Linked DNA regions of Rattus norvegicus. The protein of the gene in region 3 purifies or fractionates together with the protein of the main gene of each other region. This does not show direct contact. Links are inferred from orthologs where the notes say so. Each region holds a gene or a part of one and is shown on either strand. Other genes may lie near its edges. The genes, in order: Ddx21, Lyar, Rrp1b, Srsf6, Srsf1 and Npm1.

Region 1 (3,964 bases), about 21 Mb from region 3:
TTCTTAGAGTCTGTGAGATGGTGCTTGCTACCTCGTGATGCAAGCTTGAAGAACTGAGTTCTATAGTCAGAGCCCACATAAAGAAAATCGGTTCCACTCTCATTTTTTAAAACTACTATGATTAACTGTCTCTCATTCCTTGAATCACTGGCTCTTCAGAAGAAGTTCAAAAACTTATTACCAGTGTGGTGGTGCAAATTTTTAATCCCAGCATAGGTAGATCTCTTGAGTTCAAGAGCAGTCAGAGATGCACCTCAAAACTAACATTGTCACTGATCATTCAATTGGCCACTTTCCCTTATCTAATGGAAGTAATAAACTGTCCAATTTAAGAATCTTTGAGAACCCATTCCAAGTCTCAAGGCCCTGTTATTAATCATAAAATTTTGTTGCTACTTCGTAACTGTAATTTCGCTATTGAATCTTAATGTAAATATTTGATATGTGACCAAGGGTAAAAGGGTCGTTGAACCCCAACTGAGTAGCGACCCAGGGATTGAGAAACTTTGGTCTATAGTGCTTGAGGACAAACAGGGCTTATTAGAATCCTGTCACTATGCTCAGGAGAATGCTCAGGAAGTTTATCAAGTGCACACATGAATAAAGGGCCAAACTTCTACCTCTTGCTCTTGAGTGCTGAGATTAGCGGTGTGCACCCTATACGCCCTGCCAATTCTGGTTCTTTTAAATTGCTCATATTGTTGTGCGGCATGCATATGGATGTCTTGAGTGCCATTGCACGGGTGCGCTTAAAAACAAGTAGTAGGCTGCATAGTAGATTCTGTTTTCAAATTCAGGTCACCAGGACCAAGGTATCTCGCTGGTCCCTGAATTCCAGTGCTCACCAGGCACCTGGGTTTAGCTGTCACCTCCCATCAGTTTTCCCACAGGTGGCGTACATATCGCACGACTTTTCGTGGAAAAATGTTGCCGGCTGGTAATTCCAGACTTGGGAAGTGGAGAAGCAGGGTCAGATTCAAGGTCGCTAACCAAATCTAGCCGGCTCTCTCCTCCACGCTGCACAGACGGATCCCATCCAAAGCCATGCGAATCGCAGCCACACCGGTGTACGCTACTTCCGCCGGATGCGCTCCGCTCCGGAAGTGACGAGCGAGGCCGGGCTGGGAGGCGGTCGGCTTTCTCTGTCGCTCTCTTTCCTTTGCACGCGGTTGTGGAAGCCGGTAGGCCTGAGCTGCTCCTGCTGAATAATGCCGGGAAAACTCCGCAGTGCGTCCAAGTCGGAGTCAGAAGGGACCGAGGAGAGTATGGAGACGCTGCAGAAGCCAAGCGAGAAGGTGAGCCTGGGGGCCCTGAGCTGGGTCAGGCTGGACCCGGTGCGCGTGGTCGGCCCTCTGACACGCTGTGCCCGCTGGCCAGGCTTGAGAGTGCGGAAGGGGATTGCCGATCGCGTCACAGTGGGGACTGGAGCTGGAGACAGCAAAGTCTGAAACTTGCGCACATGGTCCGCATCTGCTGTGACACAGACACGATTCCCCCTTTAAAAAAAAAAGCTGAAAACGAGATGGTCTAAGTGATGATCATCAGTAAAATGATCTGCGTGAGCACTGTTGAATCTCCTTGTCTTTTCTTAAATCCTTTCATGAAAAGACTTAACTTGTGACAGTCTCTAATGATCTAAGTAAGAGGAGACGAAAATTATCCCGGAACTCCTATGTAGTACGACTTAGTTGAGGTTTTTTTCTGTCTCCGGGGCTTTTAAGGTAGGAGCCTTTTAAAGAAACAGCATTATTATTTGGATTAGGTGGAAACCACAGGGAGCAGCACAGCGTTCCCGGTTTGCGTCCGCGTGTTCTGCAGGGGGATGCTGAAGTCAAGAGGGAACCTGACCACGAGTTTATGTTCCAAACTCGACTTAATATTTTTCACATATGTAACAGATAGATGTTCACAGGGCGTAGAGATTGTCCATGATCCATTATTTTTAAGATGTGTTTTATAGTACCAGGAACCAAATCTTGGGCTGCTCACGTGTTGGCAGGTGCTGGGCCACTGAGTGGCAGCTCTATCCCTTAGCCCAGCGGTTCTCACCCTGTCAGATATTCTGCATATTAGATTTACATTATGATTCATAACGGTAGCAAACTTTGAAGTAACAACGAGATAATTTTATGGCTGGGGGGTCACTAAAATATGAACTATTTGGAAAGTTGAGAAAGAAAGACTGCCTTAGGCTATTATGTGAGAACTTAGTTAGTCCATTGCGATTTGGTCCTATGCTTATTGTCTGGGGCACTACTAGGTGGCTAGTAATCACTACAAGTTTTCCACGACATGAAGAGTTGTACTTTTAAATAAAGTTTCACATGTGAGAATGGTAGATTGGATGAAGTTTTTTGTTTGTTTCATATAGTGTCTATGTGAATTCACAGTGAAGTACAAACTTCTTGCGTGTTTACCATATAGAGGGGTTGGGGATTTAGCTCAGTGGTAGAGCACTTGCCTAGCAAGCACAAGGCCCTGGGTTCGGTCCTCAGCTCCGGAAAAAAAAAAAAAAAAGACAAAATAACCATATAGAAATTTAGGAGGGAAAAGAAAACTGCTTTTGCAATTATCTGAGGACACACAAACCTTTGGGCAGTGCTTGTTCACTGTTACAGTGTGTGCTCCTGTATGGGGATGGATGTGCTTGCCCATACAGCTAGTTAGAGGGCAGTGTTAGCTACCCCACCTCACCAAGACCCTAACCTGCATAACCCTGGTCACTCTGGAACGAATTCTGTAGACCAGGCTGGCCTCAAACTCCTGAGTGCTGGGATTAAAGGTGTGTATCGACCCTTCCCCAGCATGGAGTGACAAGGTTTCTCTCCGAATCTGGAGCCCTTTGATTCACCTAGTCTGGCTAGCTCCCTACTCCACCCCCACCAGCTGGGGTGACAAGCATGTGCTATCATACCCATTTTTTTCCCTGTGGGTGCTAGAGCTTCCTGTCAACCCCTCATGATGGCACAGTAAGAATTTTGCCTCCTGAACCATTTTTTGGAGTATGTAGTTTAGAGCCTTGGGAATCTCTCTAAAAAAATTAGTTTTATAATGGTTGGCTGATAAAACCTGACTTAGTTTGAAGAACTCTTTTATTCCCCCATGCTAATGACTATTGGTATATACTTATTTCCACTTATCTAAGAAGTGGTATTAAAAGCATATTGTGAGACTTATTTTTTAATTAAAATTACATTAAGCCAGGTGCAATAGCATATGACTTTAATCTTAGGAGGCAGAGGCAGTCAGATCTCCATGAGTTCAACAGCAGCCTGGCCTGCAGAGTGGCCCAGGATCGCCAGAGCCACACCTTGTCTCTCTAACGTTGTGATTCTAATTACATCATCACTCCCCCTCCCTCCCTCCCTCCCTCCCTCCCTCCCTTCCATGTAATTTCCACTTTGCTCCATTTCAAATCCATGGTCTCCTTTTAAAGTGATTGCACACACACACACACACACTGTACGTGTATAACATCAGGGTTGATTTTTAACTTCTACAGCGTTGAAATGCCTAAAGCTGTGTTTTTCACAACTGTAAGTAGTCCTGTGGTAATCCAGAATTGATGGGCCTTATACAGTATAGCAGCTTTATTCATTATTGCGGTTTTTGCTGTGTCTTTTATAAATTTTTAGAAAACTAGAAAAGAGAAGCCAAAATCTAAGACTGACGAGGCAACAGAAGGAGTGGAAGAGGCCGCTTCCTCCAAAGTGAAAGCAGTTAAAAAGAAAGGGCCTTCTGAGGATGATGTGGGTCCCCCTAAATCCAAGAAGGCCAAGAAGCAGGAGGAGGAGCCTCAAGATGACCCTGCTTCTAAAAGCAAAACCTCCAAGAAGAAAAAGGAGCCCCTAGAGAAGAAAGCACCCTCTGCTAAAACCAAAGAAATGAAAGCCGAGGAGCCTTCTGAGGAAGAGGCAGACGCTCCTAAGCCCAAAAAGACAAAGAAAGGGAAGGAAGCAAACGG
Region 2 (4,189 bases), on a different chromosome or scaffold from region 3:
AAGCCAACCCCAGGCATTGTTCCTCAGGAGCTATCTGGTCACCTTGGTTTGCTGTTGTTGTTGTTTGAGAAAGGGTCTCTTACTTACATGTGAGGCTCACTAACTCCAGGAATCCACCTATCTTCACCTCCCTAGTTCTGACGTTACAAGGCCATGCCACTCAAATGGGTTCTTTATGCATTCCGTTGCATTCTCCAGAACCTCACAATTTGGTTTACCTGTAGCAATTAGACCTTTAGGAAGGGAACTGTGCTTTTTCAAAACAGCCTATTCGGTTGGGCTCTGCAGCAGAAATGTCAGTGCTGCAGTGGCACAGAGGGAAGATTGTGCGGGGATACAACAAGAATGACCACTGGTAAGCCAGGACGGTTCTCTAAAGCAAACAAATTTGAACACACCCCATTCCTGACCATCCATCCTCTAGAAGTGTGAGAAAGTAAATCTCTCTCATCTGAACTACCACATCTGTTGTACCTTGCGTTAGGAGTCACAACAAGCAGAAGGAAACCTCCCAGTCACCAACAAATGCCCATGCCTGGGTCGATGTTTCTCACAATACTGTTCATTGCCTGTTTGACGTTCATTCAACCTTTTAAGCAATAATGACAACTAATGGATACCAGATGCTGTCTTTCAGGTTGAGAACAGCTAACGTCTAGTGAGCACCCACTAAACCGCAGAAGACCACCCAGCACCTGACATGAAACAAATCTTTTAGTCCTACAAGGTCCCGAGGAGTAGGCGCTGCAATAATAGCATTCTACCGATGGGACACCAAGGTACGTAAGGCCATGCGCTGAATGAGGCAGGGCGTGACTAAGGGGTCTGGCCCCTCTCCTATCTAGGGGTGACGCAGGCACCAAGAGCGCGCAGACCGCAGCAGCAAGGGTGACTGCAGGAAAGAGGAGGCCCCGCTCCAGTGCACGGATCTTAGCTTTGTGCTCCGCCAGGCCCCATCACACCGCGCTGTCAGTGGGCCTCGCGCACTCTAGCCGCGCTGACCCGGAGCCCACGCGAGTCGAGTGTCCCAGGACGCCTTACCCACGGAGGCCGCTCTCGCCCGGCCGCCTCCTTGACACTCGTTCTCGTCAAACTGGTGTCAACTGCAGGACTCCAACCGCCTCGGAACCATTCCGACAACGCCCCCTCGGCAGCTCGTCGGCAACTTCCGGCGCCGTCACTTCCGTTTGAGGCTTGGCCTCTATGCGCATGCGCATTGACTCGTGCTAGCCGGGATTGAGTTCTGCGCGGGGAAGCTGGGCGAGCCGGTGGCGGTGCTTCGCTGGGCGGCTGCAGCTCCACGTGCTCCTGGCGGCCGGTTGGGACCGTTGGCGGGGTCGGCTGAGAGGTGAGAGTTGCTTGGAGCCCGGGGCCTGGAGGGAGGGCGATGGCGGCATGGCCGCCTTCCTTGAGGACTCGCTCGCGGGCAAAATCTGGAGTTCTGAGCTGGAGACGTTGCATCCCGGTTTTTAGTCCGGCCCGATGGCATGGTTAGTCCTCACCTCACAGGGCTTTAGACTTGCTGGCTGATGGGGAGAGGGCTTTTCTCTGAATCTCGAGAACTAGGTCCGGAGAAAGGGTCTGAGGGCTCCTTGAGCTTAGAGGACCAAAGACCTAACTAAGTGCCTGCGAATCCCCAAATAGTGATCTAGATACAAGCTATTTAGCCCAGTGGTACCTCCACTCCTGTCCAAAAGGGATACTAGAGGACCTAACTTGGGGTGTGTGTGAATTCTACAAGGGTAAAGACCTTGACGGGAAGTAGTTGCTCGGCAAATGTATTTTCCTGCAGCACCTACCTCCCAGGAGAAAGAAGTAAGAGAGATGATAGGGGTCTGTGAGCCTGTGAGCCTAGCTTCTGGCCATTGAGGCCTAGGGATATGGGGCTTGCTCAAATGGTGGCAAGCGTCTAATGTCTTCATAGTACCTAACAGCTGCAAGTTATTCAGGTGAGGCTGTGGTGAGGAGACTTGAACTGCCTTCCTCAAGGCAGGGGAATGGCTTGGATTATTTGAGCTTCAGTAGAAACATATGTCCCACTCATGGTCTTACCCCGGGTCCTAAGAGGGTGGAGATATGTGCGTGGCTTTCCTCTTTCAGTGCACCTGTGATTTCTACTAATTCTGGAAGGGGCTTGTGTCTAGGTATAGTGGGTGGACTCCCTATTTCAGAGATGGGGAGGACTTGAAGTTTAAAGGGAGCATTTACCAGTCTGGCCTTTAAGATATGCTGTTTGGGGGGCAAATGTAGTCATCATGTGTGCATGAGTTGAAAAAGGGATAGTCCAGTCTGTAAAGTGCTTGACAGACAAGCATGAGGACCTGAATTTTCATGCTCAGAACCCAGGTTAAAGAGCAAGGTGTGGCGACGGATCCCTGTGGCTCACTAGTCAGCTCGCCTGGTCTAATCAGCAAGCCTCCCAACTCCCAGTGAGAGAGAGACAAGGTAGGGGACTGCAGACATGGCTTGGTGATTAAAGTATTTGCTGCTCTTCCAGGAGACCTGAGTTCAATTCCCAGCACCCAAAATCTAAGAGATCTGTATTAGGGTTCTCTAGAGTCACAGAACTTATGGAACATCTATATATTAAGGGAACTTATTGTAATGACTTACAGTTTATAGTCCATCTAACCCAACAGTGCACAACTAACTGTGAATGGGAAGTCCAAGAGTCTAGTAGTTTCTCAGTCCCACACAGCTATGTGTTTCAGCTGTTCTTCTGTAAGCCGGAATCCTGAAGAAGTAGGTTTCAACATATGTGCTGGCAAGTAAGTACAAGCAGGCGGAAAAGAGTGAGCCTTCCTTCTTCCAATGTTCTTATGTGAGCCTCCAGCTGGTGTGGCCCAGATGAAAGGTGTGAACCATCACACCTGGATTTGGAACTTGCTCTGTCCCAGTCTGGACTTGAACTCAAGTTCTGCTTGCCTCGGTCTCCTGGGTTTAAAGGCGTGTACTACCTTGCCTGGGCCTGAGCTTTCCGTGGCCACTATGCCTCAATATATCCATGTTAAGATCCAGGTTAGAAACCTGTATCTTTCAGCTTCAAGATCTGCATCATAGGTGTGCCCTCCATTTCTGGATTGTAATTCATTCCAGATATAGTCAAGTTGATAACCAGGAATAGTCATCACAAGATCTGACGCTGCTTTCTGACCTGTATGAGTACTGGGCACATACCTAGAGGCAAGGTGCTTATAAACATAATAAAATAAATCTTTAGAAAAGAGAAGAAGGTGGGCGGGGCGACTCCTGATTTTGACCTCTGGCCTCCCCAGATTGCTCTTGGTTTTAGTGTTTATCACAGTAATGTGAAGCTAACAGGATGTTGCTGTCTTCGCTTAGCCCAGGATTCTGTTTCATAGCATGTGGCCTTCACACTTCTGATTCTCCTAAGCCTGGACTAAGACTTGGACCCTGCTGGGTGGTCAGTTGAGCTGGCTTTCTGTTCTTTGTAGTCTGCACTGCGTACTTCTCACGAATGGAAGGTGTTTTCTCCAGGTGGATATGCTGCTAAGGTGACTCTGGGCTCCCTCCCTCCCTTCATCTGAATAATCTCCTTACAAATCTTATCTCATTAGCCAGCAGGTGGGCACACTGATTCCCTTCTCATACCCAATAAATAGGTAGAAAACCAGTTGAGCATGGCTCCAGTCTTGATTCCAACCTTCTCCTGAGTTGCTGTTCACACTGTGCCATGACCATGGGGACCTGTTTTTCATAGATGCTGCCAGCATTTTTTTAATTTTATTTTTTATTTATTTATTTATTTATTTTTTTGCCATATCACTTCTGTCACTTGCTGTATCTTGTTTCCAGTGTCCTTCTTGGACTTTAATTCTGATCTTTCCCAGCGACACACCCGTGGATCCCAAGGTTTATCCAAGCCCACCCTCTCCTCTCGAGCTTGACCAGAAACAGCAGTCCTCAGTAACAGAGGTTGAAAAGCTCCAAACTATCTCTAAGTTAGCAGGGTGTTTTCTCCATTGTCCTTATTGCAGAAGCGCTTCCTGGTTTTTCAGTGGACCCTTTAGCTAGTCATAACAGCTGTTGCCTATGCTACCACAGTAGGCCATTTCTTGGTATCCAATTAGTTGTCTTTCCTCTTGTTCTTACATCGATGTGTCAGGATGTCCAGACTGGTGGCAGTAGGCTCTTGTTCTCGCTGTGCAGCAGAACTGCTGACCTTGCT
Region 3 (3,500 bases):
ATTTGCCCAGAGCACAACCTAGAGGAATCTCTTGGCATTTCAGCCCTCCCCTCCTAACAGGAGACTGGAGTGCAAACCCTATTGCACAAGCACCAGCAAGGTGGCTCTGTGCTTTCTGGCTTTGCAGCATTTGGTACTCAGGATAGATTCAGTTTAGTCTACATCTTAAAAACAGAGTGGGGCATGGTAACATGCACCTTTAGTCCCCGAGCTTAGGGGACAGAAACAGGTGGTTTTCTCTGAGTTCAAAGCTAGCCTAGTCTACAGAGTGAATTCCAGGACAGCTGGGGCTGTGTAGAAAAAGCCTGTCTCCGAAAAAGGAGGGGTGGGGTGGGTGTTGGCAGTGAGATTGTTTTCCTGGAATCGTCCAACCTCCCACCACAGACACTTTCTTGAACACAGTTTTAGCATTTTTCCAGAAGCATATGGCATTAGCCCAGTAGTTGATTGAAGTTTGGAGTTACACATTTGATAAAGCCTGAGGTGTCAGCCACAGATCTAAAACAAGAAGCCCAGGCTTTCCCACCACAGAGGGAGAGGGATGCAGCCCGCAGCACCCGCATCAGTGTGACCACCTAATAACCGATGTTTTCCCCGCCCGCCTTTGCAGGAGGAGCTAGCGAACATTATTTCCCAACTCATCCACGTTGTTAACAGCTCCGAGGCTCGTAAGTCCTGCCGTTTTCCTGGCTCTGACTTCCTTGGTAGCAGGTCTGATAGCTTACCTGGGGAGCCTAGTCAGTGCTTTTCTTCTGGTCTGGGAATGAGTGATATGGCAGCCTCTGCTAGTGCTGAACAGAGGTCATATGACATTTCAGACACTGATCAGCTCCCAAACTCAGGCTGCCCTCACACTTAGAAGCTGTGACGCCTTTGCCACTGCACCCTGGCTGAGATTAGAGCCATCTTGACTATAAATCACTGTAATAAAGTGTAAGGTAACCCTGCTCTACCTAAAAGAAAAGGTGGAAATTTCTGAAGCTGGACAACAGTCAGTCCTGTTTGACACCTTCTGAATTCTGGCTGACTTACAACACCCAAGATCCTGCATTTGTTGTATAGTAAAGATTTGCGTTTGTTTATAAATTGTGCTGGGCATGGTGGTATATGTCTGTAATCCCAACATCTAGAAAGCTAAGGTAGGAGGTGTGAGAGGCCAGCCTGGGTAGCAGCCAACCCCTACATTCGAAGGAAGTGTTCAAAAGTCAGTAAGTGGGGAATCTGTGGATTAGATAATGTGTCTCACCCAGACAGCATGCACATCAGAAGGATGGATAAAGACCAGTGCCTTGGGAGCGCTTTGACCGAGACGCTGACGGCATCTGTTGTGATGTCTTTATAGCTGCAAAGGAAATCACTGAGCATAGTTAGCCATTGGCCAAGCTCCACCTGTCCAAGAATTCTGAGATAGACACGTAAAGAGAACTGGGTGTGTTTTCTGTCGTTCCTTCCTGCTATGTGCTCCTGCGGCAGCAGGGCACTGAGAGCCTCTTGTCCCTGCAGAGCACCTGTTTATTCAGACCTTCTGGCAGACCGTGAATCGAGAGTGGCAAGGGATAGACAAGCTGCGACTGGACAAGTACTACATGGTAAGGTGGTGCCTCCCCATGCGGACCGGAAGAGTTGACACACAGAATGTTCTGTCTGCAGAGTGGCAGAGAGCTGGGGTGCAGCTCGGCACTACTGCACTTGCCTGGCATTTTTTCTTCTCTTTCTGAAGCTGAGTTGGAGTTTGATAAAAGGGTTTCTTGTGTGTGTATTTGGAGGTGGGAGGTTGGTTTTGGTTTTTCAAGTCAGGTTGCTCTGTGTAGCCCTAGCTGTCCTGCACTCACTCTGTATACCAGGTTGGCCTCAAACTCAGAGATCTCAAGCCTTTGCCTCCCAAGCAAACCACTTCCCAGCTTGCTAAGAGGTTTTATAGATTTGTGAACAGTAGAGTTAAGAGATAGAGAGGCTGTTGGGAAGAAATTAACCCACACCCAAGAACATGGGTATGAGGTTCTCAGACAGAGCTTGCCTTGCCCGGCCATCTTCAGACCAAGCTTCCATCCAAAGCAAGAAAATGGTGAAAGTCCAGACGTGCTGTGGCGGAATCAGGCACGTGCCGAAGGTGCCTCTGTTCCCGTCTGAGCTGCTGGGAATGAGGCTGGGAGCGCAGATGTCTTGCATTGGTTTTGTTGGTTTTCTGGGGGTGCGGGGGAGTCTGTGCTGTGCCGTCTCTGGTCTTGGATAGAGGCACTTACTACCCCTGTCTGCCTCAATGCTGCTAATCCAGAAGCTGAAGCGATTTAAGGACGTTGTCTTGCTTTGGGGACCCAGAACTAGGGTCCTCGTCCTGCCAAGATAATCACTACGTTTTTACTCTTACTATAAAACATGCCGACCCTTAGCTGATCCGCCTGGTCCTGAGGCAGTCCTTCGAAGTTCTCAAGCGGAATGCCTGGGAAGAGAGGTGGGTAAACCATTTGCGTGGACGTGTGGTGGCGTTAAGAGCATGTCAGAGTTGCTGGGTGGTTCAGTGGTGGAGCACTTGCCTGATGGGTATGAGGCCCTAGTTCTGATCTTTAATGTGCTCCCCCACATCTTTATAGAACAATGGGGTCCTCTGGGATTCTAGGTAATCAGAAGCATGAATTGGCTCGTCTCTGCCTGCCATGCTTAGTGCCATGAGAAGCAAGTAGACGCTGAGCCAAGGGAGGGTAAATCCAGGGGAGCCCGAAACGGTCACTTGAAGCCAATGAAGAGCAGTTTCTTCTCTTGGGGCCTCACATTGACTTACACAGTACGAGCAGTAAATGCGTATTTTTGTCTGTTCTTTGAAAAGAGGGAGGTATTGGCGATAATGTCTTTAAAAAAACCAACTGTGTTATTGGTTTGTTTTCTTGCTGTTCTTCAGCCAAATCACACTGTTTCTGGACATCCTGATGAAGGAGATCCTGAGTCCCGAGAGTCGGTCCCCCAACGGAGTGAGATCCCACTTGATTGATGTGTACTTGGATGAGCTCTCCACTGTGGGAGGGAGAGAGGTGAGGAGCAGCGCTGCGCTGGGACCACCATGCCGGGGCTTGTTATGGGCACTGTCAGCACCAGCAGCCTCTCTGAGGCTTCTCCCCTCCTGGCACCCTGTCCCAGACAGCTAGTGGGCTGTACCTGTGTCTGGAAGTCTTACCTGTGAAGTAGGATTGAGCCGCACACTCAGCTGGAGTAGCTGAGGCAGGAGAGTCGTTTGAGCAAGGAATGCAAGGCCCGTGTTCAGGCCTTGCGGACACTGAAAATCTCAGCACTGACTACACATCTCACGTTCCAGGGCGGCCTGTGCCATGCCACACCACACCACACAGCAAGGCCCTGCCGCTGCCCGCAGAAAAACAGCGTCCAGAGGGAAAGGAAAGAAAGGCAGGGTGTACCGCCTAGTCCCAAAGCTGCGGGAAAGCCGGTAGACGGTGCGGTTACCCAATATAAGCCGACAAAAGGCTAGAAAGAAAGGTGCACTTTTATGT
Region 4 (4,277 bases), on a different chromosome or scaffold from region 3:
CCTTTTCCATTTTCTTTGGGGGACCGAGAACGTGACCTACTTCGTGACTTCCCATACTTATCCTTAGATCTGCTTCTTGAATGTGAATGGGAACCCCGATCAGACTTGGGCTTAGATTTGCTCTTTGATCTGGATTTCCTGCCCTTTGAGCGGGATCGGGATCGACCTTTGCTCCGAGACCTAGATCTGTACAAGAAAAACCAGATTTTTTTCAGTATTTTATCAGAAAACACTTGTACTCCATCAAGTGGTAAAATTAAGAGACCCAATACCACATTATTTACCGCGAGCGACTTTTTGAGATACTTCGAGATCTACTGCGGCTGCTTCTGCGACTCCTACTCCGAGATCTTCTTCTAGACCGTGATCTACACACAAGAGACAGTAACATTTTAATCTTTCCAAGAACCTGTTTGAACAACTTAGCTATGGCTGGAATATCTGCTTACTATAACCAAAAAACACTGTAAACACAATTAGGCAACAACTGAAAAATCACAAGCCTCCCCGAGCCCATTACCTGGATCTACTTCCAGAGTAAGAGCGCCTATGGCTTGTTCGTGGCTTATCTTCAATAAGCCGTATATTCCTGCCATTTATTTCTGTGCCATCCAGTTTATCCAAAGCACGCTTCATGTCAGAGTAGGATCTAAATTCAATTACACCCTCATTTGTTCGTTCTTTGTGAGCATCTGCATAAGTCACCTCTCCTGCTTGCCGCATGAAATCCTAAAACAGTTAAGACTGGTGAGCCTCAGAAGTCAGAAGCAAAACCATGCAGCCTCAACTCTCAGGGAAGCCACTGCCCTGTTTTCAACCTCAGGACGTACCTTTAAGTCTTGCCAACTGCAACGACTAGATAGATTTTCTACAATAAGCCTGTATTCTGTACGAACAGGTGGTCCATATTTGTCTCTGCCAGAAGTTCTCCGACTGCTGTATCCACCTCCACCACCTTTATCACACGGAGGGAGTAGTTAATGTATTGCAATGACAGGGACACATGTTTTTGAAAGTTAGTACAAACATAGCAACGTTTATTTACTGGAGTAGGACTTTGCTATTATACTGCTAAACCCTCGATACATTTGTGATTTGCCACAAATTAAATTAAGGGCAAGTCAAATAAGACTATATCCAACTAAACCTCTCCTACAATCTGTTAGAGAGTGACTGCTCCTTTATTCAATTTACCTCGCTAAGTTTTATTTTACAGAACATTGTAAAATATAAAACTTAACTGATTACATGCATTTCTACATTTTACAAAAATGTTTACTAGTTACACTAAGTACTTACATCACAGTGTGAGGTTTTTGGTGGTGGTTTGGCCACAAAACACGCAAGGTAACAGTCACCTAGTTCAGATTAACCAGTTTTGTCTAACCCTTGGAATCCTCACCATCACCCTGCGTCTAATGGCAAAAGGCTGCTGTCGTCATGGCTTCCGGTAAGGTCAGCCAAAGGGTCATAGGGCAAGGGTCACACAATGTATGGAAAAGCCAAGGCCAATCAGGAAAGGCAGTCATCTTAGCCTCAGTGGACACAGCCTCAGCCCCATTGGTCACTTTCAAATTGAAACATCAAGGACTTGTTAAAAAGTTTGAATTCAACATGCAACAATTTCAACATTAAACATTTCACATAACCAAAATCCCCCCAACCCCCTCCCAGTAACATGCCAACTAGTTCAGATACAGCATAAAGCTTATTTAGATTTACTTGGTGGTACTATGCCACATTACTTAGTTTAAAATGGCACTTTCTTTGCCCCCCAAGTCTCCCATCTCTAAGACTTAGGCTTCAAGCTCCTCCCCTCTCCCCGCCCCCTGCCCCACCTCCACCCCAGCCTTCCTTAAAACTTCCTCCACGCTAGCTAAAAGCACTGACAGATAAGCAAGGGGGAATAGTACAAATACAGCCAACCCTCGCGTTCAATAATGGCAGAAACCACGTCAGTGCCAGAGGGCCAACTTAGGCCACTCCTCCCAAACTTAAGTCAACTGGCCATCCGACCCCATTCCCCGCGCTCCGGTGTCCCACGGCTACCCGGGCATGCGTGGAGGTAGAGGAGCCTAGGAACACCCAGGGCCGACAACCCCCGGCCTCCGCGCCTGCCCGGGCTGGGGAGGTCCCACCCTGCCCACCCCGGTGACTGCACCCGCCCCGTCCCCCCCAGGTACCCAGGACGCGGAGCGCGCGGGGGTAGGACTCACTGCGGCTTCCGTAGCTGTAGCCATCGCGGTCCCGGCGCGGGCCCCGGGCGTGCTCTACGATCACGCGCTCGCCGCACAGCTCCTTGCTGTTCAGCTCGTAAACGGCGTCGTCCGCATCACGGGAGTCCTCGAACTCCACGAAACCGTACCTGAGGAGGGGCGGAGCGCGAGCCGCGCACCGGCGGGCGTGTCGTTAGCCGGCGCCGCGCGCTCCCGCGACCTCCCCCGCGCGCGCTCGAGGCGCCGCCGCCATTTTAGAGGCCCTGCCACGCGGCGTCCCGGCCTTGGCCGACTCGGTCCTTGGGGGATCTCTCCGCCTCGGGGCGCGGCCTCCCAGACCCGACTCACCCATTTTTGAGGTCGATTTCGAGGAGGCGGCCGTAGCCGCTGAAAAAGCGCTGGATGTCCTTCTCGCGGACGTTGTAGCTCAGGCGTCCTATGTAGACGCGCGGCATGGCCGTGGTGGGTGTTCTCCCGGAGGCTAGCTGAGGTGCGGCGGGCCGCGGGGCAGGGGCTGCGGTGCGGGTGCGGGGACGGCGAAGGCCCGAACACGCGCCTCACACCGCAGCTGCGGCCGAGTCAGCCACACAATGGTGCGCGCGCGCGCGCTGGCCTACGCTATAAGTGACCGGGGGCGGGGCGCGGCGCGTGACGTCGGCGCGCAGCACGTCCTCTCCCGCGCCGCGTTCCACTCCAGAGGGGCTGGGGCGGCTGCAGCGTGTGCTGGGCTAGGTGCGAGCCGAGCTCGCTTCCCTGATGTCCCCTGGTGCTCGGCACCCTCTTCCGAACACAGCCGAGACCGGGACCTTTGACTAGTACCCATTAATAAACTGTTCTTGTGCCCGGGCACGCGGAGAACAAAATCCTATTTCTCATTGGTTGTCCGGGCAGTCGGTCTAGACAATCTTGCTCTCTGATTGGTGTACTAAGAAAAAGAGGTTGCACTTTCCTTTCAGCGGGTAGCTCGTGCTGGTTTCGATGGGTATAGAGGACTCTTGGGAGTCGGACAGTTCCTTAGTTTCTCAGAGACCTGGGATCTGTCCCTGAGGTTTAGTGACCCGCAGGGGAGTGCTGTGGCGGATCTCGGTGGCGTCCCTCACTCTGCTCCGAGTTCTGACAGCTCTGAATCCCGCGCTCGCGGCGACTCTTCACAAAGGGACTATGGGTGGGCCCCATGCACCAACAGGCGGGCGCTGGAAGCTTGGAATCAGACCTTGTGGTTCTCCAAAACCCCCGACCCCTACCCTTACTGTCCTTAACCTGGTTGACTCCGAAGGCAAACTATATATGAAACAGAAACACACACATAGGAGTTTATGGAGGTGACATTTAACGCTGTAGAGGTAGATAAACAAAACACAGTCTCCCCCTCTCCGTGAGTAAAGTTAATTGACTACGATAGGAGCATGCCTTGGGAGTACTCGGAAATTAAGGACGGCCAAGCTTTGGCTAGAGAGGTAAGGAAACTGAAAGCAGACATAGTGTGATGGAAGCTGGGAGAAAAGACTGTAACCGAGCTAGTACGTGTTCTTCAGGAATTTGTTTTCTGCCCGGAATCTCCACAGCCCCAGGCTTTTCAACTAGGATGGGAAGAGGCGATTCTGTTATCTGGGCCAGACCGGCAATTAGAGTAGCAACCCAGGAGATGAGTTAATAATATTATCTGGAGGGAAGAGAACTAACTTCCTTAAGTTAGAACTAGAAAAAATATAGGTACACAGCCTTAAAAAAATATTCATGGAACACAGAATGAATTCAATACTTAAGTTTCCTTTTATCAAATTGTCAATTTCTTAAAACGTGTTAAATTTTATTTGTGAGTGGTGAGAAGACCGAAGCAGGTAAAGAAAGGTGCTTGCTGCCAAGCCGGAGGACCCGAGTTCGATTCTACAACCCACAAGGTAGAAGGAGGAACAACAGCAACAACAAAAAAACAATTTTTGCTAGTTGAAATCTGACCTCCTCATGCTTGTTATGCTTTCAATAAACAAATAACTAGGGCTGGAGAGATGGCTCAGCGGTTAAGAGCACTCACTGCTCTTCCAGAGGTCTTGAGTTCAA
Region 5 (4,253 bases), on a different chromosome or scaffold from region 3:
GCAGCAGATGGCTCATCTGATAAAGATGCTCCTCAAAAGCCTGACCACACATAGTGCAAGTGGTGAACTGCACTTTATTTTCTAACTTTCACACATGGGCTGGGGCATGACCCACCACCCCAAGGCACAATATGCATAAAATAAAATTGAAAACTAAAAATTACAGTGTAGAGAATCAACCTTAAAATTTCCGGGGATCCGATTTAGCATACTTATTCGAGATAGGAACTGCACAGCTCTGGCTGGCCTTGAACTCCTGAGATTCTGAGGCCTACTTTGAAAGGAATGCGCCACCACACCTGGCTGTCTTATTATCTAAACAGGAAAGGTTCTGGTTTTAGCCAGGAGGTGGTGACTCATCTTTGATCCTAGCACTTAGAAGGCAGCAGGATCTGAGTTCCAAAACAGCCAGGGGCTGTTCAAACCAAAACAGAAACCCGAAACTCAAAAACAATGCCAAGAAAAAGGTTTGTTTTTAAAAAATTTTAATAGAAAGGGTTTCCCTGCATGTCCCGGGCTGACCTTTAATAGAAATGTGTATCACAGAGTAGGTTTATCACCTCCTTGCCTCAGCTCCCAGAGTGATAGGATTTCAGGCACACAGACTTAAGTCCAGCTTAGTTTTGTTTTAATTAAAAAGCCTGTATGATTTCACAAATAAAACTCTCCTATTCCCGTTATTACAAAACAAAGAAGCAAAATTGTGGTATCCAGTACAAAAATCCTATTTCAGATAATCTCGGGGAAAAAGTTATCTCCCTAGACTAGCACCGAACCCGGATCTCGGCCCAAAGAAGCAGTTAGTATTTTATCACGTTTCCTTTTTCATCCTTTGAAAGGAGGAAGAAAAAAAGCGAAGGCACGGTTCATCTAAATAGATATGGAGGATCCGTCTAGACACTTTTAACTGTGTAAAATGCAGCCCACCGCAGGTTCGCAGAAGCAAAAGCCACACAGCTCCCCTTAGGCTGTTAAACGAATCTCCTGCAACTCGGCCGGCCGCACCGAAGTGCTAAAGTTGCCCAGGTTTCCGGAGCAACACCCAGCGTCATCTAGCTCCGCCCCCTACGCCTTTCCCGCCAAAGGCCGTTACCACCGCGGAGCATGTTGGGACACAGTTGCAGGCTAGGTTTCACCCAATCTTTTTAAAGCGCCGAGCTGCTTCCAGAGAGAGTTTACGCCAGAGGAAACCGACTATCCTGGACTCAGCAGGATTGGTAATAACCCCTTTAACCAGAGTATGTGACTTTTACCAAACGTCTGGCCGCTCCACCAGCCAATCATCCCATAAGCCCAGGACCCGAGGGACTTTTTCCCCTCCGTGCGGAGGGTGACGTCGCGCGTGCGCGAGCGTACTTCTCAGCACCCGTTACGCTCGTGCGCGTGCGCACTGAAATGGAATAGCCGCTTCCTCCGGCTTCTCTTCCTCCCCCTCCCCCCCATATCAGTGCGCCGAGCTGATAAAGGCGCCATTTTGGACCGGCCGCGGGAGACGTGGTGCCGCTGAGGGCTCGCTCTGCCGTACGCTAGGCTTGGTGGGAAGGCCTCTTTTCGAGTCCGCGCTTTTCGTCGCCGCCATGTCAGGAGGTGGTGTGATTCGTGGCCCGGCAGGGAACAACGACTGCCGCATCTACGTGGGTAACCTACCTCCAGACATCCGAACCAAGGACATTGAGGACGTGTTTTACAAATACGGCGCTATCCGCGACATCGACCTGAAGAACCGCCGCGGGGGACCGCCCTTCGCCTTCGTTGAGTTCGAGGACCCGCGGTGAGGCAGCGTGGGGCTTGCGGCCTTGAGGAGATAGGCTGGAGTAGTTGGGGAAGGCTCCGAGGCCTTAACATAATGGGGGAAGGAGGGGCTCCGAGGCTGGGAGCGAGGCGCTATCGCCCCTGCAGGAGTCGAGTAAGGAGCCGAGTCGGCGCGTTGTCTCCGGTGGCTGACCGCCTCGGACGTCCCCAGAGCCCATGCGCAGCCCCGGAGCGGGAAACTGAGGCGCTGAGGGCTGGCGTGGTGGTCGGGAGTCTGCCCGGCGTGTTTCTGGGTGGGGGAGGGGCCGGTCCTATTATGCAGCGCATGTGGGCTCTGGCACCATGGGTGCGCATGTGCGCTGTCCGCGGGTTCCCGAGTGAGTTAGCTTTGCCAGCGGCTCCCTCCTCATCCCCTTTGCTTTCTGTGATCACACGCAGAGACGCGGAAGATGCGGTGTACGGTCGCGACGGCTACGATTACGACGGCTACCGTCTGCGGGTAGAGTTTCCCCGAAGCGGCCGTGGGACCGGCCGAGGCGGCGGCGGGGGTGGAGGCGGCGGAGCCCCGAGAGGCCGCTATGGCCCGCCATCCAGGCGGTCTGAAAACAGAGTGGTTGTTTCTGGTGAGTTGACTTCGTGCGGGTTAAAATTTTTCCCGCGTGATTGTTTTGAGGTCTGCAAGTTTTCTGTTTTGCTTTAAACATGGGGTCTTAAACTACTTCGGTCTTTCGGGTGAATTTAGTAAATGAAGATTACTGTGGTGGTGATTTACCCAAATTAGGTTGCAGTACTAGCCTATGAAGATCCTTTACAAATAAATTTGGACTCTGGATCTGACTCTTACCAGCTCTTTACCTGGAAACACTTAAGTACAATCATTAAGTATTTTAAACTAATCTTTGTTTTAATGTACTTACACGTTTGATGTGGGACAGGTTAAGTAGTATTAAGTTGGAGGGACTCACTTTTTCAGGACTGCCTCCGAGTGGAAGCTGGCAGGACTTAAAGGATCACATGCGTGAAGCAGGTGATGTATGTTATGCTGATGTTTACCGAGATGGCACTGGTGTCGTGGAGTTTGTACGGAAAGAAGATATGACGTATGCAGTTCGAAAACTGGATAACACTAAGTTTAGATCTCATGAGGTAGGTTATACACTTATTCTTTTTTTTGGCCAGAATTGGATACAGTTTTCTTAACAGTGGAATTTGAAGGTAAGGATACAGGCAAGGGTGTCCGAGTAAATTACCAGAGACCTGGTCTGTCTTTGTATTCATTCAGCTTGTCTGAAAGACAGGTAAAAGCTTAGATCTTTCAATGGAAAGTTCTGTCTATCCAATAGGGAGAAACTGCCTACATCCGGGTTAAAGTTGATGGGCCCAGAAGTCCAAGTTATGGAAGATCTCGATCTCGAAGCCGTAGTCGTAGCAGAAGCCGTAGCAGAAGCAACAGCAGGAGTCGCAGTTACTCCCCAAGGAGAAGCAGAGGATCACCACGCTATTCTCCCCGTCATAGCAGATCTCGCTCTCGTACATAAGATGATTGGTGACACTTTTTGTAGAACCCATGTTGTATACAGTTTTCCTTTACTCAGTACAATCTTTTCATTTTTTTTAATTCAAACTGTTTTGTTCAGAATGGGCTAAAGTGTTGAATTGCATTCTTGTGTAATATCCCCTTGCTCCTAACATCTACATTCCCCTCATGTCTTTGGTAACTTGTATTTTAAGTGATGTCATAGACAGGATTGTTTAAATTTAGTTAATTTCCATGCTCTTCAGACTGTGATATTATGTAAATGTCTATTCTGCTCTGGTTTGTGTGAAATGGGATGTTGGGGGTGTTTGTGGTTATCTTACTTGGGGAAGTTCTTATGTTTATCTTGCTTTTCATGTGTCTTTCTGTAGACATATCTGAAGAGATGGATTAAGAATGCTTTGGATTAAGGATTGTGGAGCACATTTCAATCATTTTAGGATTGTCAAAAGGAGGATTGAGGAGGATCAGATCAATAATGGAGGCAATGGTATGACTCCAAGTGCTATTGTCACAGATGAAATTGGCAGTATTGACCTTATACTAAAAGGCGAGGGTTAAAATTTTATCTACCTTAAAAGACTTGCAAACATCTTATGCAGTTATCTTCAGCTACAATTGCTTTGCTTTTTAAAACCTTGGCAATTGTGGCAAAATTGCCCGTTTTGTAACAGTTATTTGCTCCCTTCCCCCCTTTTTGTTTTAATAGGGACTAATGTGGGAAGAATGGCTAATTTGTCACAGTGCTTAGTTACAACTGTTAATGTGTGGCCTGCTGTTGGTGTACATGTGGGTACAGGGTGTCTATTTCCAAACAGAGTATAATATCAATACTGCTAAATCTGCATGTCCTCTGTGTGACTGATAGAGCGTTGTTATTTCATTTTTTAAAGACAAAAATGACAGCAAAATATAGAATTCCAACATATTAATGTAGATAATCTAGTTGGGAATACTTTTGTCT
Region 6 (3,500 bases), on a different chromosome or scaffold from region 3:
ATTATTATAGGAGTTGGCCTATCAAGTTTGATTTTATCCTATCCTAACTTTGAAGCATCTCTCCCAACCCCTTTTTTAAATATGAGTACACTGTTGTCACTGTCTTCAGACAGTCTTAAGAGGGTATCAGATCCCATCACAGATGCTTGTGACTTGATTTTTTTTAAAGGATGACCTACTTGGTTCTCTGAGACTAGCTAGGAAGAATTACTACAATGCATCAATTTATATTAGCAACTTCTCTGTTTTATCTATAAAAGGAATTGTAAGGATAATAGAAATCCTTGTAATTACTATTTGTTAAGAACTGTACTAACAATTTTAAAAACTTTTCCAGGGTCAAGAGTCCTTCAAAAAACAGGAAAAAACTCCCAAAACACCCAAAGGACCTAGCTCTGTAGAAGACATTAAGGCAAAAATGCAAGCAAGTATAGAAAAAGTGAGTAAAAATTACCTTTAAATAGATTCGTCTTTCTCCCACTTTAAATTGTACTAATATGGGAATTCAGGTTAAAAAGTAGATTATAACAATAATCCTGTGCACTCAAAATTTGGAAGGGTGCACTCCAATCTTACAATGTCCTTTCTGGGGTTATGCTGTAGAACCAGCAGAGGGCGCTTGGTTTTCAGTAAAACTAAAAACAGCTGGAAAAGTAAGACACGAGTGTTTGGCTGCCTGAGATTATAGCTAAGGTGAAAAGGATCACCTTTAAGTATTTCACAACAATTTGAGTTATTTCTGTGCCTTCTGTACCAAAGCACACTCAGTCCATGACCTGAAATTTATGTGTGGCTACTAATAGGCTTTCATCTAGTCTTAGGTAGAATTTCTTTCTTGGCCATTTGGCTGGAACTAATACATTATTATATAAAGCATGTTTGTGTAGAAAATTGAATAATACACATGATTATTGGAAAATTAAAGATTCTCCATTATGATTCCAACATACTGAGTATACATGTGAAATGATAAGGAAATTGCCCAGTCCTGTCCTGGCCTCACATGGCTTCAGAAGTTTCTTCCTTTGCAACCACGAACGGATTGGAATTTAGCACTTGGCCAGCACATATATTTCTTATTTAAACTGTAAACTTAAGTTTCCTGGTGTTGCTGATTTATTTTTTATCCCTTGCATACACTGCTAAAATGATGCCCCTCCCCCCCATTTTAATGTGGTCCTATCTCCTTGGTTTAATTGCAGGCGCATTGAACATTCCTGGGCACTACTGGTAAATTAAGCCCAAAGATGGGGAAAGAGGAAAAGGAGAAACAAATATAGTACCATCAACAATCCAGACTGAAGTCTTCTATTTTAATCTCAATCCCCTTTCCTGATTGGCCATCCATTCCCCCTTGCAGGCTGGAAGCAATCGTTTTCCTAAAGCATTTTTCTTTTTCACTCGTGTGATGCAGAAAACTTGACTGCTTTTCTATACCACTTGTGCATATGCCTTAACTCTGACCATGTTTTAATTTTAACCTTTGTATCCTTAGCTGCTCGAAATAAATTTTTGAATGAACCAATAAGGATGTATGTGACAATATTTTTAAATTGTAGTGAATTATCTTCTAGGTGATGGAGGCAATTTAAGTACTCAAGATGAATCTGGAATTTGGAAGCCTTAGACTTGCTAAGTGCATAAAAATGGAAAAAACCTAAAATTTATAGAGAAGTGGACTTTATTTAGAATAGGGATAAATCTCTGTAGTGATAACTTTATGCTGGTTACAGTTGTACCTAGCTTGTAAGAGTTTTGGTGGCAAAACTGACATTGCTGATACTGTGATTCACTGCCTATATTCATAATTGGAAACATGCCAGGTCGGTGCAACAGTGAGGGTAGCATTTTAGAACCCTTTGATTGTGTGCTTTTTGGAACACTTTTATAAACAGTTTTGATTTAATTTGGTTTTTTGGTGGTAGGTGATGACACTAACTTATTATAATAGGCACCAAATTGCTGTATTTGCATGCTGGTAGAACCATACAGTTTTAAACTGGCAGTTTGGAAGGAATTGGACTTTAAGCAGTGAAAAACCATTCTTTCTGAGGTTTGGTCCTCGATGTTTTGTTTTTTTTTTTTTTTAATCAAATGGTAGTGTTGAGGGATAGTTTGTGTAATGGCATGCAAGTCTTTGGAAGTTTTCTAATTGTGTCTCACTTCTGTGCTTGTCCTTAATAATTAATGCTTTCTTCCTCAATAGGGTGGTTCTCTTCCCAAAGTGGAAGCCAAGTTCATTAATTATGTGAAGAATTGTTTCCGGATGACTGACCAGGAGGTAACTGAATTTTCTGTGGACATGACCAAATCTAAAATTTTCATTGTGATTTATTATGACTCTTACTTTTAGACTCTTAAGTTATTGGCTTCTTGTAAAAGGTTCCTAACCACAGACAGTACTTAAATACATGGAAAGAATTTAATTGGCAGACTGAGCAAATAATTTTTAGTGCACATTTTTTCCCCAGCTTTTTAAATAGTTGGTCAATTATCTCTTGGTTACTGAACTTAGTTTTACTCTTGGTAGTGTGTTGGCTAAGGAAATAGGCTGTGGCTTTTTATTTGCTCCATTTGGCTGCTTTACACAGTCTGATATTTGCTCTCTTGGGAGTGGTAGTGTCTTCTCCAGATAGTGAAGGGGGGGAGAACAATATTGGTAAAATCAAACTAGGATAGGTTAAAAAGCCTCATGCATGTGAGATAAATGGTATGGTTTATTGTGGTGGAGTCACTTGGGCCATGCAAGGGTGTGAATTTAAATTTTCTATTAGTTGTAAATAGGAAATATGGGTTTTGTTAGACCTTCTGTATGAACAGTTGATTTAAAGGGTTTCATCAGTCTGAGCTATAGGTGTCTATCCAAACTTCATTAAGAACAGGTTATGTCCCTTTGGGTTTCTCCAGGTTGTGTTCTTTTGCTTTGTAATACTTGCCTGGACTTTACTGTAAACTCAAATTCTGAGTCCCTAAATAGGGTTGACCCACACAGACAGGAGGCAGCATTGGCCATAAAGTCATGGCTAAGCCATTTAGTTAGGAGTCTCATTCATGGCTATGTTTGAGTTAAAATTCTGCATTTTCTCTTTATATGATGAAAACATTAACTTTAATTTTATAAAGTTAACATTTCTTTACCATTTTTCCTTTTTACAGGCTATTCAAGATCTCTGGCAGTGGAGGAAGTCTCTTTAAGAAAATGGTTTAAACAGTTTGAAATAATTCTGTCTTCATTTCTGTAATAGTTGCTATCTGGCTGTCCTTTTTATAATGCAAAGTGAGAACTTTCCCTACTGTGTTTGATAAATGTTGTCCAGGTTCAATTGCCAAGAATGTGTTGTCTAAAATGCCTGTTTAGTTTTCAAGGATGGAACTCCGCCCTTTACTTGGTTTTAAGTATGTATGGAATGTTATGATAGGACATAGTAGTAGTGGTGGTCAGATGTGGAAATGGTAGGGAGACAAATATACATGTGAAATAAACTCAGTATTTTAATAAA

What was found.
Region 1: the proteins of Rrp1b (region 3) and Ddx21 purify together in Homo sapiens (affinity purification with mass spectrometry; 3 studies listed by BioGRID and IntAct, with this or other methods). This does not show direct contact. The link is inferred for Rattus norvegicus from reciprocal best matches to the Homo sapiens genes RRP1B and DDX21.
Region 2: the proteins of Rrp1b (region 3) and Lyar purify together in Homo sapiens (co-immunoprecipitation; 3 studies listed by IntAct, with this or other methods). This does not show direct contact. The link is inferred for Rattus norvegicus from reciprocal best matches to the Homo sapiens genes RRP1B and LYAR.
Region 4: the proteins of Rrp1b (region 3) and Srsf6 purify together in Homo sapiens (affinity purification with mass spectrometry; 3 studies listed by BioGRID and IntAct, with this or other methods). This does not show direct contact. The link is inferred for Rattus norvegicus from reciprocal best matches to the Homo sapiens genes RRP1B and SRSF6.
Region 5: the proteins of Rrp1b (region 3) and Srsf1 purify together in Homo sapiens (co-immunoprecipitation; 3 studies listed by BioGRID and IntAct, with this or other methods). This does not show direct contact. The link is inferred for Rattus norvegicus from reciprocal best matches to the Homo sapiens genes RRP1B and SRSF1.
Region 6: the proteins of Rrp1b (region 3) and Npm1 purify together in Homo sapiens (co-immunoprecipitation; 3 studies listed by BioGRID and IntAct, with this or other methods). This does not show direct contact. The link is inferred for Rattus norvegicus from reciprocal best matches to the Homo sapiens genes RRP1B and NPM1.

The regions. Positions count from the first base shown.
Region 1 is NC_086038.1:31,094,439-31,098,402, reverse strand, and holds the start of Ddx21 (nucleolar RNA helicase 2), read left to right. Parts: upstream 1-1,164; 5' UTR 1,165-1,208; coding exon 1,209-1,295; intron 1,296-3,635; coding exon 3,636-3,964.
Region 2 is NC_086032.1:76,799,966-76,804,154, reverse strand, and holds the start of Lyar (cell growth-regulating nucleolar protein), read left to right. Parts: upstream 1-1,389; 5' UTR 1,390-1,490; intron 1,491-2,339; exon of another isoform or gene 2,340-2,445; intron 2,446-4,189. UniProt on the Homo sapiens protein: Plays a role in the maintenance of the appropriate processing of 47S/45S pre-rRNA to 32S/30S pre-rRNAs and their subsequent processing to produce 18S and 28S rRNAs. Also acts at the level of transcription regulation.
Region 3 is NC_086038.1:10,132,825-10,136,324, forward strand, and holds part of Rrp1b (ribosomal RNA processing 1B), read left to right. Parts: intron 1-610; coding exon 611-668; intron 669-1,503; coding exon 1,504-1,589; intron 1,590-2,390; coding exon 2,391-2,452; intron 2,453-2,896; coding exon 2,897-3,026; intron 3,027-3,500. UniProt on the Homo sapiens protein: Positively regulates DNA damage-induced apoptosis by acting as a transcriptional coactivator of proapoptotic target genes of the transcriptional activator E2F1.
Region 4 is NC_086021.1:172,007,595-172,011,871, reverse strand, and holds the start of Srsf6 (serine/arginine-rich splicing factor 6), read right to left. Parts: upstream 2,801-4,277; 5' UTR 2,672-2,800; coding exon 2,565-2,671; intron 2,366-2,564; coding exon 2,217-2,365; intron 956-2,216; coding exon 831-955; intron 730-830; coding exon 521-729; intron 369-520; coding exon 285-368; intron 187-284; coding exon 1-186. UniProt on the Homo sapiens protein: Plays a role in constitutive splicing and modulates the selection of alternative splice sites. Plays a role in the alternative splicing of MAPT/Tau exon 10. Binds to alternative exons of TNC pre-mRNA and promotes the expression of alternatively spliced TNC.
Region 5 is NC_086028.1:73,335,045-73,339,297, forward strand, and holds the start of Srsf1 (serine/arginine-rich splicing factor 1), read left to right. Parts: upstream 1-1,453; 5' UTR 1,454-1,577; coding exon 1,578-1,771; intron 1,772-2,190; coding exon 2,191-2,375; intron 2,376-2,725; coding exon 2,726-2,898; intron 2,899-3,095; coding exon 3,096-3,290; 3' UTR 3,291-3,660; coding exon of another isoform or gene 3,661-3,699; 3' UTR 3,700-4,253. UniProt on the Homo sapiens protein: Plays a role in preventing exon skipping, ensuring the accuracy of splicing and regulating alternative splicing.
Region 6 is NC_086028.1:18,245,742-18,249,241, reverse strand, and holds part of Npm1 (nucleophosmin), read left to right. Parts: intron 1-337; coding exon 338-439; intron 440-1,202; coding exon of another isoform or gene 1,203-1,211; exon of another isoform or gene 1,212-1,525; intron 1,526-2,206; coding exon 2,207-2,281; intron 2,282-3,156; coding exon 3,157-3,195; 3' UTR 3,196-3,500. UniProt on the Homo sapiens protein: Involved in diverse cellular processes such as ribosome biogenesis, centrosome duplication, protein chaperoning, histone assembly, cell proliferation, and regulation of tumor suppressors p53/TP53 and ARF.